Linked DNA regions of Saccharomyces cerevisiae S288C. The gene in region 3 interacts genetically with the main gene of each other region. Each region holds a gene or a part of one and is shown on either strand. Other genes may lie near its edges.

Region 1 (3,237 bases), on a different chromosome or scaffold from region 3:
GAAAAATGACCCTAAACTACTTCTAAACCCTCTCGATTTCTTTCACGTTCATACAACACCTAGTTTTATTTATTTTCTTTTCAATCTGAGTAGTTGAGTTTTCGATCACTCACATAGAACTATTTTTTGCCATTTAAATAAAGTATTCTCTCAAATGATGCGATACTATAATACTCTTTGCCATATATTACATTCATTCATAAATAGGCTATGTTTCTATATCCGTTTCCGATTCTGTCTGCAAGCAAGGTTCCCTATCATTACCGGATTGTTCACTATGGTTGGAGCTCTTCTTTTCCCCTGCACTTGCATCAGTCTCAGATTCAGAACCAGAAATGTCTCCGTAATCTTCATCCGATCTTCCTGCTGATATTTGAATACCATTGTCTTCTAAAGACACTAAATGTTTTTGAACATCACTGCTACTATCAGATTCAAAACTTATTGATTGTGTGTCATCTCCAAAAGAGGTAATATCATCGTACTTTTCACTGAGTTTATCTTTAGCAGTAATAATTGGCCTTTTAGAAAGTCCGAAAAATTGAAAGTCATCAAAATCGTCGTCTTCCATTTTGATCACGGATTGATTAGATATTTTTCTATTAGCTCTCCTCCGACTTGTGTCTTTCAACTTCTTTTGTAAATTTTGAGGCTCTACTACCGTCTTTCTTCGTTTCATTCTTTTTCCTGGAGAGTTTAACTCAGAAATTGGCTTTTGCACTTCCGTATTAATAAGCGCAGAATCTAAAACATCATCGTCAGACAATTTGATATTATTTTGTCGCAGAATCTCATGAAGCTCTCTTATTTTCTTCTTCTTCTCATTCAACAAGGTTACCATCATTGCTCTGGTTCTTTCATCACGTGTTTCTAAAAGCTTATCCAATAGCTCCCTTTCCCGAGCCAGCTGTTCAACTCGATTTCTATTGCTAGAATCGCTCTCCTTTATATTCCGGTAAGAATCGTTAACACAACAGATATCTTTATAGAGTTTATCTGCCATTTCAAATAAATCAATCTCTCCCTTTTTGACTGGATGCAAGGTAAGTTCAGCGATTTTTCTTATGATCGCCGATGACTCCAACTCCATAACTACTTTCCATACCTCATCATCTTGCATTCTGCACGTCCATTTTGTGAATACGACTTTTTCGTCTAACGATGCAATGTACACTTTGTGACCAGTTAACATTTTGAGTAGTTCATACCACACATATTTCTTAGACTCTTCATCGATATTTTCTCCCGTAAAGATTCGCAAATCATTGATTCCAAAACTGCTTTTGGAAAAAATTCCTGTACCTTCACTTACCAACATTTTCTCTATTCTAAGCCCTGAAAGACTGTTCTCATCTAATGTTTCCAACATAGCGCCATCTTCAATCTGAATCTTACAGAGGCCACGCTCATCTTCTTCATTTTGTTCTTCATTAACCACAGGGATACAGCTAATGAACTCCGTCAGCTGGGACATAGCACCCTACATAAATAAGTCATCCAATGCACAATTCTCTCAGTTCTATGCATTGACACGTCGAAAACTGCCGTTCATCTTATTATTCTTTAATATGGCTTTTCAAAATACGCTTCCGGGTACTTTTTCGGATTCATTAATGGTGTAATTAGTAATGCGTAGAAATATTTTGTATATAATAATAAATAACATGTTTGTCCAACAACTCGTAGGCTAGGCTAAACGTGAAGTCTTTCTGTTTTTGAGAACAACAGTATACATAAGTGATATCCAAGAATGACTGAGATACTACCACATGTAAACGACGAAGTGCTACCAGCAGAGTATGAACTTAATCAGCCGGAACCAGAACACTGTCCTGGTCCAGAATCAGACATGGCAGGTAAGTCCGATGCTTGTGGTGGCTGCGCCAATAAAGAAATATGTGAAAGTCTTCCGAAAGGCCCTGATCCAGATATTCCATTGATCACAGATAACTTGTCAGGAATAGAACATAAAATATTGGTTTTATCAGGCAAAGGTGGCGTAGGCAAGTCGACATTTGCCGCAATGCTAAGTTGGGCACTTTCAGCTGACGAAGATTTACAAGTAGGTGCCATGGATTTAGATATATGTGGACCTTCTTTGCCACATATGTTAGGCTGCATTAAAGAAACCGTCCATGAATCGAACTCCGGTTGGACACCTGTCTATGTGACTGATAATTTAGCCACCATGTCTATTCAATATATGCTTCCAGAAGACGATTCCGCCATTATATGGAGGGGTTCAAAAAAGAATTTATTGATAAAAAAATTTTTAAAGGATGTTGATTGGGATAAACTCGATTACTTGGTAATCGACACACCGCCCGGAACATCTGATGAGCACATTTCAATAAACAAGTATATGAGAGAATCTGGCATAGATGGTGCCCTTGTGGTCACCACACCTCAGGAAGTAGCTTTATTAGATGTACGGAAAGAGATAGATTTCTGTAAGAAGGCTGGTATCAATATTCTTGGACTAGTGGAAAATATGAGCGGATTTGTATGTCCAAATTGCAAAGGAGAGTCCCAAATATTCAAGGCTACCACAGGTGGAGGTGAAGCACTTTGTAAGGAATTGGGCATCAAATTTTTGGGGTCTGTTCCGTTAGATCCGAGGATTGGCAAGAGTTGTGACATGGGTGAAAGTTTCCTGGATAACTATCCTGACAGCCCAGCTTCGAGTGCTGTACTTAACGTTGTGGAGGCTCTGCGAGATGCTGTGGGGGATGTATAGTATATTTTATCAAAAAGAATAAAAGGAAGTGCATTAGAGGTCAAATCGTTTTATAATATAAATATCATTACCTTTAAATCTTAGACCTACTGAAGAACACTTTTACCATATATAATGCTACTAATTACTCCAAAAGCGTTAGCTTCAGTCCATGTTTTACTATTTTTCTTTTTTTTAGAAATAAAAATAAAAAAACTTATATCTTATATGTACACTTCATTAAATCCTGGGCAAACTCACCCCTCAAGTATGCCTTTTCTGGCTGCCCTAGGGGGAGCTCAAGCAATTTGGCCTTCGAATCGCCTATTGAAGGATTGTTTTTCTCCAATATTTTTGATACAATCTCTTGGGACATAACATTACAACATGCGGCCACTTCACGACAGTGCTTATACTGATCATAAAATATCTTCATACCACTAATTAATGAATCGATAGTCTCCTGCGTTTCAACATTATCCAACACAAGCTTTAGATATACTTCAAATACGTTTATACTT
Region 2 (3,344 bases), on a different chromosome or scaffold from region 3:
TGAAAACGTCCCTAGTGGGCCTATAGCTCAAAATATTTTGTTGGACATATATTTGCACTCTTAAAATTAATCTAGCCTGCACTTTTTGGACAATCGGTTCGAATAGTTTATCATACTGAATGTCGGTAAACTGCTTCACGTATTCTTCTGAACCTTCTTCAAATTCATAATATGGAGCAAACAAAGTCACTGAGTCACACAAAGTACAAATATCTGTCTCTTTCAAAACCCTGACTCTAATGGAGTCATAAAGGGGTTCACATAACTGTAAGAACCACTGATTAATCTTGAAACGACATTCCTTTTCAGGGAAAAATTCTACGAAAAGTTTGTATTCGTCCGCGCATAACTGCTGAAAATAAACCTTACCGTCTTGAATGAATTTGACCAAGCCCTGGTCCTTATCTTTAACAACAATTTCATCAATGTGTGACCAAATGACCGGAGTTAGCAGTCTTAAACGTGTTTGGAAATAGTGGTTGAAACACTCGTAAAGAATGGAATTCAGTTCATCGTGATACTTGTTGTAGGCTTTTTCGTTGCTTCTCTTAACAATTTCCGAAACCTGAATTTTGAAAGTATCAGCTATGGTATAGAATTTACTGTACAAGAAGGCGTCTCTTGTAGTCGACGGCAACCCAGTTAACGAATTTTTGTTTTTGGTTTTATCCAAAATTTCTTGATTTGTTTGTTTCAACAGATTCGTTAAAAAGTGAGATATCAATTCACAGGCTCTGATCAAGCATTGCTTGAACTTGATTCTGTACGCTGCCGCATCCTTGAGGTCACTATTCTCATCCAAAAAACGTAAAGACTCGTCGATAGTCGCCAACATTGTCGTAAAGGAGCTCTTCTTAACAATAGCGGGAGAAGTGGCATGGTTCAAGCGACGCATTATAGGGTCTAAAACTTCAAAATAATGGAGAGCTTTAGGGATTGACTCAGTTAGATTGCTTAATTTAGACTGCTTTTCATAGATCGTCTTCGTTTCCTCAATGAAAGCTCCAGTATCCTGAGAGATTTTCCGAAATTTCTTGATGGAACTATCCAATTGATCGTTAACCTGGCGTGTTTGATCCAGAACAACTTTATACTCGTCTATCTTAATGTTTAACTGGTCCAAATAGGTAGTATAATACAAATACTTGTTTGTCTTTTTTACATCCGCAGAAGTCGTAGCTTCAGAACCATTAACCTCTGAACAACCTTCTGAGACATCAGTTCTTTGCAGACTGTCAGAATTTTCCACAGCCAAAGATAGCTTTTTTAGCTTATCAAAAAGGTACGAATCGTCCAGTAAACCCACTATGGTCTGAGATTCTGGTATAGTCGGATGAGACGCAATATCTCGAACCAATGAATTCTTTCTACTTCTCGCCATCTTTGGATGTGTCGATAATTCGTGCAATATTGGGTAAAACAATTCATGCTGGGAGTATTTATTGTGTGTCTATAAAGCCAAGACTTTACATAACAATGGACGCAACGACTGCCGTTATACAGGGTAACCTCAATTTGCGCCTCTATATTCTATATTAATACTACTTATGATCCATCCGCAGCTGATACTTAGAGTTACGAGGCAGAGCATCGAAAAATCTGAGCCCACCATTAAGTTGCAATATAAGTACGAATTTTCCTGCTCTTCTCTCGTCTTTGGATTACTGTATTCATTGATAAATCTCTATTATTTTTTTCAGTTTTTCACTTTCTTTTCGAGCGATGGGAACGGCAAATCACGAAAATTTTCTGTCAACGTAGAAAGTAATGATGTGTTAATACTATCGAAAAGCTGTGGAATTGAAGAGCCCAGCCCAAAAAGTCTGCATGAATAGCGTAAAAAGAGTAAAGCTAAATTCAAAAATGTCCAAACAAATATGCACGCATTCCGGATCTTTTCACGCGGACGAGTCGTTGGCGGTATACATGTTAAGGCTACTACCCGAATTTAAAGATGCTAAGTTGGTTAGATCAAGAAATCCCAAGGACTGGGAGGCTAGTGACATTCTAGTGGATGTAGGAGCTCAGTATGACGGCGTGAAATTTTTTGACCACCACCAGCGTGGATTTTTCGAAACTTTCAACGAGAAATACAAGACTAAGCTCTCAAGTGCTGGTCTGATCTTCAAACACTACGGTCGTGACATTATCAAAACAATTTTGAACAACAAGGTTAGCAGCTCTGATTTAGATCTGCTCTATGACAAGGTATACAAACAATTTGTCGAGGCACTGGATGCAAACGACAACGGTATTAGCAAGTACACGATTCCTAAGGATTCCAACTTGGAACCGAATTTCAGGGATAACGCCATCAGCATTCCCGGGATTATTTCAGGTATGAATCCTAACTGGAACGAAGACACTTCCGATGAGTCTTTTGACAGATGCTTTGCTCGCGCAAGTGAGTTTATCGGTGGGGTCTTTGTCACATTGGTAAGAGGCTACGGTCAATCGTGGTTGCCAGCCAAGGCCCTTGTGGCGCAAGCCATTGATGAAAGAATGGATGTTGATAAGAGTGGCAAAATCATTGTCTTGCCCCAATTCTGTCCATGGAAGGAGCATCTATACGAGCTGGAAAGAGAGAAGAACATTGAAAAGCAAATCGAGTTTGTTCTCTTCACAGACTCTTCTGGTGCCTGGAGGGTATCTACTGTACCAATCAACTCCACCTCCTTCCAGTTTAGGAGAGGTTTGCCGGAGCCATTAAGAGGCCTCAGAGACGAAGAGCTGAGCACCAAGAGCGGTGTGCCAGGATGTATCTTCATTCATGCAGCAGGTTTCATTGGAGGTGCCAAGTCCAAAGAGGCTGTATATGAGCTGGCTAAGATGTCTTTGGCCTAGTCGGGAGCGAGCGCTCAGTCAGGTCCCTTATCTATTTAATAATATTTAACAATTCCACTATTTATTCTGTATAGTAAGTAAATCTTTAATGCAAGCAAAAATCTTCCCGCCGCGAATCCTGAAACATATTCCCCTCGGTGAAACACGCTCTTGAAAATGACCTGAGAACACAAGATATCAGACGGCTCTTGTTGCACAAAAAACAAAAACAAAAGAAGCAAGCTACGTTGCAGCCACTGGTACTGTCTGCTAACTCAAACATTCTTTTTCATTTTTAATATACAGATTTCGTATTCTCCCGTTCCCGCTATACGCAATTTTCTTTCTTTTTTTTCCCTCTTTGGTTAGGAGACTGCAGATCAGTCCCATTTTTTCCAACAGAACAAACAAGCAAACGTTTCAGTTTAAAAGAACACACGGTCGTCGTGCCTTTTCTGGATAGACACAAAAAAAACAAATAACGAAGCAGGAGTCTAATGAAAGGTCTTCTCTGGTCTAAG
Region 3 (3,079 bases):
AGTGGTTCTAACAACTTGGTATTCCAAAGTCTTTGGGTTGGCCAATTTGACAGCTAAATCACCATTGTCGGATTGTCTTAGAAATTTAAAGTTTTCATCGTGCGAACATAAGGTCAATGGTAAAACCTCAACCCACGTGGCTTGAGAGGATGCAACTCTGAAAATATCAGAAACCTTGTTGATTGGTAATGGTTTGGCAATGAAGTTGGCATTGGATAATTTCTCACCCTTTGGCAAATTATTGAAACCATAACCGACAGCGGCATCTTCCATTATATCACAAGCGTGCAAAATATCAGGTCTAGTTACCGGAATGTCAACGTGCAAGATGTCCTTGTCTTCCTTTGATTGAACGGCATGCAACGACATCTTCTTTAGACAATGAGCAATTTCATCAGCGGATTGATCTAGGCCAAGACAGGAGTTGATGTACTTAATGGAGACATCCATAATTCTATCGTTGAAGTTTGGCGCCAAACGGGATTGGCCATTGTGTTCAGAGACAATTTCTACAGGCTCAACCGTGAATGGTTCGTCACAATAACGTGAGAACATTGTAGTTAATATGTTCAAAACGATCTCGGCTTTGGTCTTATCGGTGGCGGTTATATCAATCAAAATGTTACGGGTGTTCACAGAGATCTTCGAATGTTCACTATTGATTAATGGTGGCAGGGAGCAAACACGATCTTTGCTGTCCATAATAACTGGGAAGACTGGAGAATCCTCAATAATGTGAACGTATCTCCCTATGTTGTTTTTCTGTTCTGGAGATTTATAAAACTCGATCAATTTGTCACCAGTAAACTCTTGGGTTTGATTCAATGGTACGAACTTGATGTCCTTTGGTGGTAGAGCTCTGTAATGGAATGGACCTTCAATTGAATCTAAATCGTGAGTACCCATGGCAACCAAGCTTCTGTTTCTACATAGATTGGCATGTAATTTATCTTGCAAGGCAATAAAAGAAGCGTAAGATTTTTCGTTAAGCTTGATATTTCTCAATACAGCAGCGGTAGCAAAAGGTCTAATTTGCTCCGTTGATTTGTCGATGATCAACTTAGTGGTTGGCTTGCTTAATTTATAGTCAGGTCTTTCTTTACGTTCCAAGTATTCGTTCAGCGACTGTGAAATACCTTCGATACAAAGCAAATCGTAACGATTGGCACTGATATCAAGCTTCAATTCCGGCTCCTCCCCGGTTTTCAAGGCCTCCTCTGTGGTGTCTTCGTCCATTTCCATACCGAATTCAAAACATAATTCATCGAACTCTTGGGAAGTGTAGTTTTTGCCTAGAAGATCAAATAATTGCTGCTTGTTCACGGAGACGGTAGGCATGCTGGCTCGGTGTTATTGATGTGTGTTATGCTATTCTGCCCTATTTTTTGAACATTTGATCAACTCCAGGCTTTCGAGAAATACATTGAAAATTTTTCATTTCCTTCAATTTTCTTTCTTTTTTGGTACCGATTCTGAATAATCGGTCACCTCGTGTGTCGTGATAAATAATCAAGAAGATGTACTTTTATACAAGGGTTGTAGTCATCTGGGACACTCTCAGAGCACTGGCTCTGACGACAACCATCAAACGCATGCTCATACGTATAATTCAAGCCTTACATACACTGGTATTCCCTTTGGGGTGTTTCTTTTTCCTGTCAAGTTGGGCACTTAAAAGAACTAATAAAAAATCAGTGTGAACTTTTCGATTTGCAAAGAAAATGAAAAAAAAGAAAAGGAGCTTTCACAAATAAACAGAAGAGATCAAGATGAAGTGGTTGTTGTTTCCGGCAAGAATCGTAGCTCGCACTCGCCCAAACCTCTTCTCGCTGTACAGAAGATCCGTTTCACAGTACTTACGTCCTCGAACCATCCAAAACCTGCAATCAATGGCGCAAACACCCGAACTTAAAACCAAGCTGTTCAAACCCTTGGTCTGGATCGACTGCGAGATGACCGGTTTAGACCACGTGAATGACAGAATTATCGAGATTTGCTGCATCATCACCGATGGACACCTGGCACCCGTCAAAGCGGCCGATGGCCAAGGAGACTCGCATTATGAGAGCGTCATCCATTATGGTCCCGAGGTGATGAACAAAATGAACGAGTGGTGTATTGAGCACCACGGTAATAGCGGTCTCACCGCCAAAGTTTTGGCAAGTGAGAAGACTTTGGCCCAGGTAGAAGATGAGCTGCTCGAGTACATCCAGCGCTACATCCCAGACAAGAACGTTGGCGTCTTGGCAGGCAATAGTGTACATATGGACCGCTTGTTCATGGTCCGCGAGTTTCCCAAGGTCATTGATCATCTCTTTTACAGAATAGTTGACGTCAGTAGCATCATGGAAGTTGCCCGCAGACACAATCCCGCTTTACAAGCACGTAATCCAAAAAAAGAAGCTGCCCACACTGCTTATAGTGATATCAAAGAGAGCATAGCTCAATTGCAATGGTACATGGACAACTACTTGAAGCCACCACAGGAAACAGAGTCGGTCGAGTCAATCGGATCTGAACAGCCGGAGTCACCATCTTCATCTACCTCATCTTTGAAAAGACAACGCACCGATTTTTAATGTAGAAAAAAAAAAAGAAAAAAGAAGTGAAATTTTTCAAATATTTCACACACGAAACATGACTCCTGGTGAGAAATGACCCTTTCAGGTTGCTTTGACCATAAAGGTTTGACTCTATCTCTTGGGTTTCTCATGTTCGCTTTTTACTCTGTATAATTTTTAAATTCATAATCATCTTAGACCGAACCATGAGTCTTCTTCATCTTGTTTTATATATAATGCAGAACTTGCTTCCCTTAGTTTGCGTTCAGTAATCTTTCCTTCTTCTAGTGTAACCTTTACGAAAGATACTACCCCATAGCAAAGCATAACAGCTTAAACCGAATCCTCCTTAACATGCCTTACACTCTATCCGACGCTCATCATAAGTTGATCACCTCTCATTTGGTGGACACCGACCCTGAAGTGGACTCCATTATCAAGGATGAAATTGAAAGACAAAAGCACTCCATCGATTTGATTGCTTCTGAAAATTTCACCTCAACCTCCGTTTTCGATGC
Region 4 (2,676 bases), on a different chromosome or scaffold from region 3:
AAGGCATTGGAAACAAACTATCGGTCCATCTATGAGAAAAGTTCAGAATTACTGGATAAGAAGCTGGAAGAAATTGACAAGAAATGGATAGAGAAAAACGGGTGTATACCTGATGCATCTAAAGACGATGTGGAGAAAAATCTAAGAAAGCAATATTTAGCAGATGTACAGGACGTAAAAAACGAACATATACCTGTGATGAATTGTGAACCTGGTGGGTCTCAGTTCAAGTATCTCTGTAAAACTATTGAGTTATTATCATCCAACAAGACAATTTGTTTTGCCATCGATGTAGAGGCATTTGAATTTGATACAGACATTGTTACAGAGATTGGCATCGCCATATATGATCCAAGAGAAAACATTTATTCCTTGATGCCGATTATAAGAAGTTATCATTTAATTGTTGCTGAAGCGTTACCGTTAAGAAACAAGAAATTCGTATGCGACTTTAAAGACTGCTTTTTACTTGGAGAAAGTCTTGTATTACCATTGGAACAATGTGTAGAGTTCATTCAGTCGTTGATTAATTTCTATATGAAATGTGAGACGGACCAAGATACAACCTGGGAAAGAGCGTTTGTGGGTCATGCTATAGCGGGGGATATTAAGTGGCTGAAGAAAATTGGGGTCCATGTACCTGAATTGGATAATGAACTTACCAAACCGGAGGACTCAACGGAGAGCAAAGGTGTTAGAAAACATGTTAAGATGCTTGACACAGAGAAAATTTATAGCATGTGTTATGGCAAGAAGGGTAGCAGTTTAGGTAAACTACTAAGGCTTTTTCACTTGCCACATGCCTTCTTACATAACGCAGGCAATGATGCATATTACACGTTGCTCCTGATGCTGAAGTTAGGAGATTATAACTTTAGAAAGCAAATTGGGGCAGATGATTTAGAAACAATGGGATATAGGATAAGAGAATGGTTTAAGCGTGAGGCGGACGAACCCAAAATTTTGCCAATGTCGTACGTGCTAAGTGTGATGAATGCCAATAATAGCAAACCGAAAGTTGATGATAAGGGAAGAAAGAAGCCGAGGGATCTTGTACCTCAGACGGAATTTAGCGGGTCTCATTGGTTTCAAAATGCACGCGCAGCCTTCAAAAGTACTCTTGTGTGAATCTAGCTAGAAGTTTTGTAGGTATATGTGATTTAAGATATAGATAATAAAAGATATATATATGTAAATATTATGAAGGGGATATTAGCGTAATTTAAACTATTGAAATACCGGCTTCAATATTTCAGCTAACTTGCCATTTTTCTTCAAAGTTTCCAAATCGCTGTTACCACCAATGTGCTTGCCATTGATGTATACGTTAGGTACAGTTTTTTGGCCCGAGATTTCTTCTAAAGCGTCTTGAATCTCTGAGCCATTGCTCATTTCATCTAATTCCAACACAAGGGCCTTGGATTTGGGAACGTTCAATTCTTGGAAGAGGGTAGACAAAGTAGCTTTACAGTAAGGGCAGTATGTCTTTGCTGCAACAAACACTTCCTTTTGGCCAATCAGATCCTTTACGTGAGCAACTGTTTCCTGGGATACCATTTTTGGAGTAGATAAAAATCTTTTAGCAATAATTCTTGTGGCAAACAACGTGATAATGATAATAACAATTAAATTCGAGTCGAAGGAAAAATTGGTCTCCATGAAACAATATATAACAGTAGTTGGAGTGTCCGTTAATCAAGAGGGCACCTTTTCTTGGCGTCCTGGGACTTTTTATATGAAAATTCATGAAGAAAGTGCGGCGGGCCCCTTTGCGAAGGGGGCCGAAATATCGGATCTTAGTAATAGTTCTGCTATTGGATGTGGTATTAGCATAAATCAAGAGGGAGGCGATGGTTCTATTAGGGTAAAAGAGAGCAGCTTGAGGAAGAAACAGGAAAGGATGAGTACAAAATATCCGACAACGATGAGTTGCCGAGAGGCATTTGATCAACTGACGAGTTGCTATTCGATTGGAGGGCAATTTAGAAGCTATTACAGATATGGAGATTTTACATCATGTGACAAGCAGGTGTCCAAATTCAAGTTTTGTATTATCCACGGCAATGACCCTGTGAAAGTGCAGGAATGGTATAAAGATCAGGTTTCCAACAATAAGGCATTGGAAAATACCAGTGGGGTTATATGGCAGGAGAGGGAGACCACTGCAAATAAGTGAGATTTTTAGCTTTTTTTTTTTAGCATGTGTACTATATAGTATATGGATTTCTTATTTACAAGCGCAATAAAAAGACGAACACTAATCCTTGTTGTTCCGCTTCACGTCCTTACTTGATTCTATTTCATTGTCTTGGTGAAGTTTCTGTGTTTCCTTCATCAATTCATACAGTTGAACTGTTTGCTCAGGGGATAGTTTCTCCAGGGTTTCCGAAGATAAAGTGGCATCTTTCCATTTACCGTTGGAAATCATGTGGAGATAATCTTGCCAGGAAGCTAAAAAGCCGACTATATGCAACGGGTTATCGATATCTTTGTGCAACTTGAACTCGTTTCGCACGTATTGGTCACCCATCTCCCTTTGGGGACCAGGTAGCAGCTTATGCTGCCTTAGTATCCTTCTGTAGAGAACCAAAGGTGGAAGTAAAAGCTGGCTGTTATGGGTTGCAAATCTAACCGAACGATATATGAGCTTGTTGTTCATGGTGAATGAAGACGGGA

Evidence for each region.
Region 1: mutations in REX2 (region 3) and NBP35 together harm fitness more than expected from each alone (negative genetic interaction), as found in Saccharomyces cerevisiae (2 studies listed by BioGRID).
Region 2: mutations in REX2 (region 3) and MYG1 together harm fitness more than expected from each alone (negative genetic interaction), as found in Saccharomyces cerevisiae (3 studies listed by BioGRID).
Region 4: mutations in REX2 (region 3) and EMI1 together harm fitness more than expected from each alone (negative genetic interaction), as found in Saccharomyces cerevisiae (2 studies listed by BioGRID).

Annotation. Positions count from the first base shown.
Region 1 is NC_001139.9:341,556-344,792, reverse strand, and holds NBP35 (Fe-S cluster-binding ATPase), read left to right. Parts: upstream 1-1,750; coding exon 1,751-2,737; downstream 2,738-3,237. Other genes in the region: MF(ALPHA)2 (Mf(Alpha)2p), read left to right, coding at 1-2; LIF1 (Lif1p), read right to left, coding at 209-1,474; nucleocytoplasmic transporter NUP145, read right to left, coding at 2,934-3,237. UniProt on the Saccharomyces cerevisiae protein: Component of the cytosolic iron-sulfur (Fe/S) protein assembly (CIA) machinery. Required for maturation of extramitochondrial Fe-S proteins.
Region 2 is NC_001137.3:482,825-486,168, reverse strand, and holds MYG1 (Myg1p), read left to right. Parts: upstream 1-1,827; coding exon 1,828-2,844; downstream 2,845-3,344. Other genes in the region: Golgi transport complex subunit COG3, read right to left, coding at 1-1,381; GTPase-activating protein BEM2, read left to right, coding at 3,321-3,344.
Region 3 is NC_001144.5:259,238-262,316, reverse strand, and holds REX2 (Rex2p), read left to right. Parts: upstream 1-1,769; coding exon 1,770-2,579; downstream 2,580-3,079. Other genes in the region: FRS1 (phenylalanine--tRNA ligase subunit beta), read right to left, coding at 1-1,338; glycine hydroxymethyltransferase SHM2, read left to right, coding at 2,916-3,079. UniProt on the Saccharomyces cerevisiae protein: 3'-to-5' exoribonuclease specific for small oligoribonucleotides.
Region 4 is NC_001136.10:1,470,000-1,472,675, reverse strand, and holds EMI1 (Emi1p), read left to right. Parts: upstream 1-1,612; coding exon 1,613-2,176; downstream 2,177-2,676. Other genes in the region: YDR514C (uncharacterized protein), read left to right, coding at 1-1,128; dithiol glutaredoxin GRX2, read right to left, coding at 1,228-1,659; SDH7 (Sdh7p), read right to left, coding at 2,258-2,659. UniProt on the Saccharomyces cerevisiae protein: Involved in sporulation. Required for the full activation of the early meiotic inducer IME1.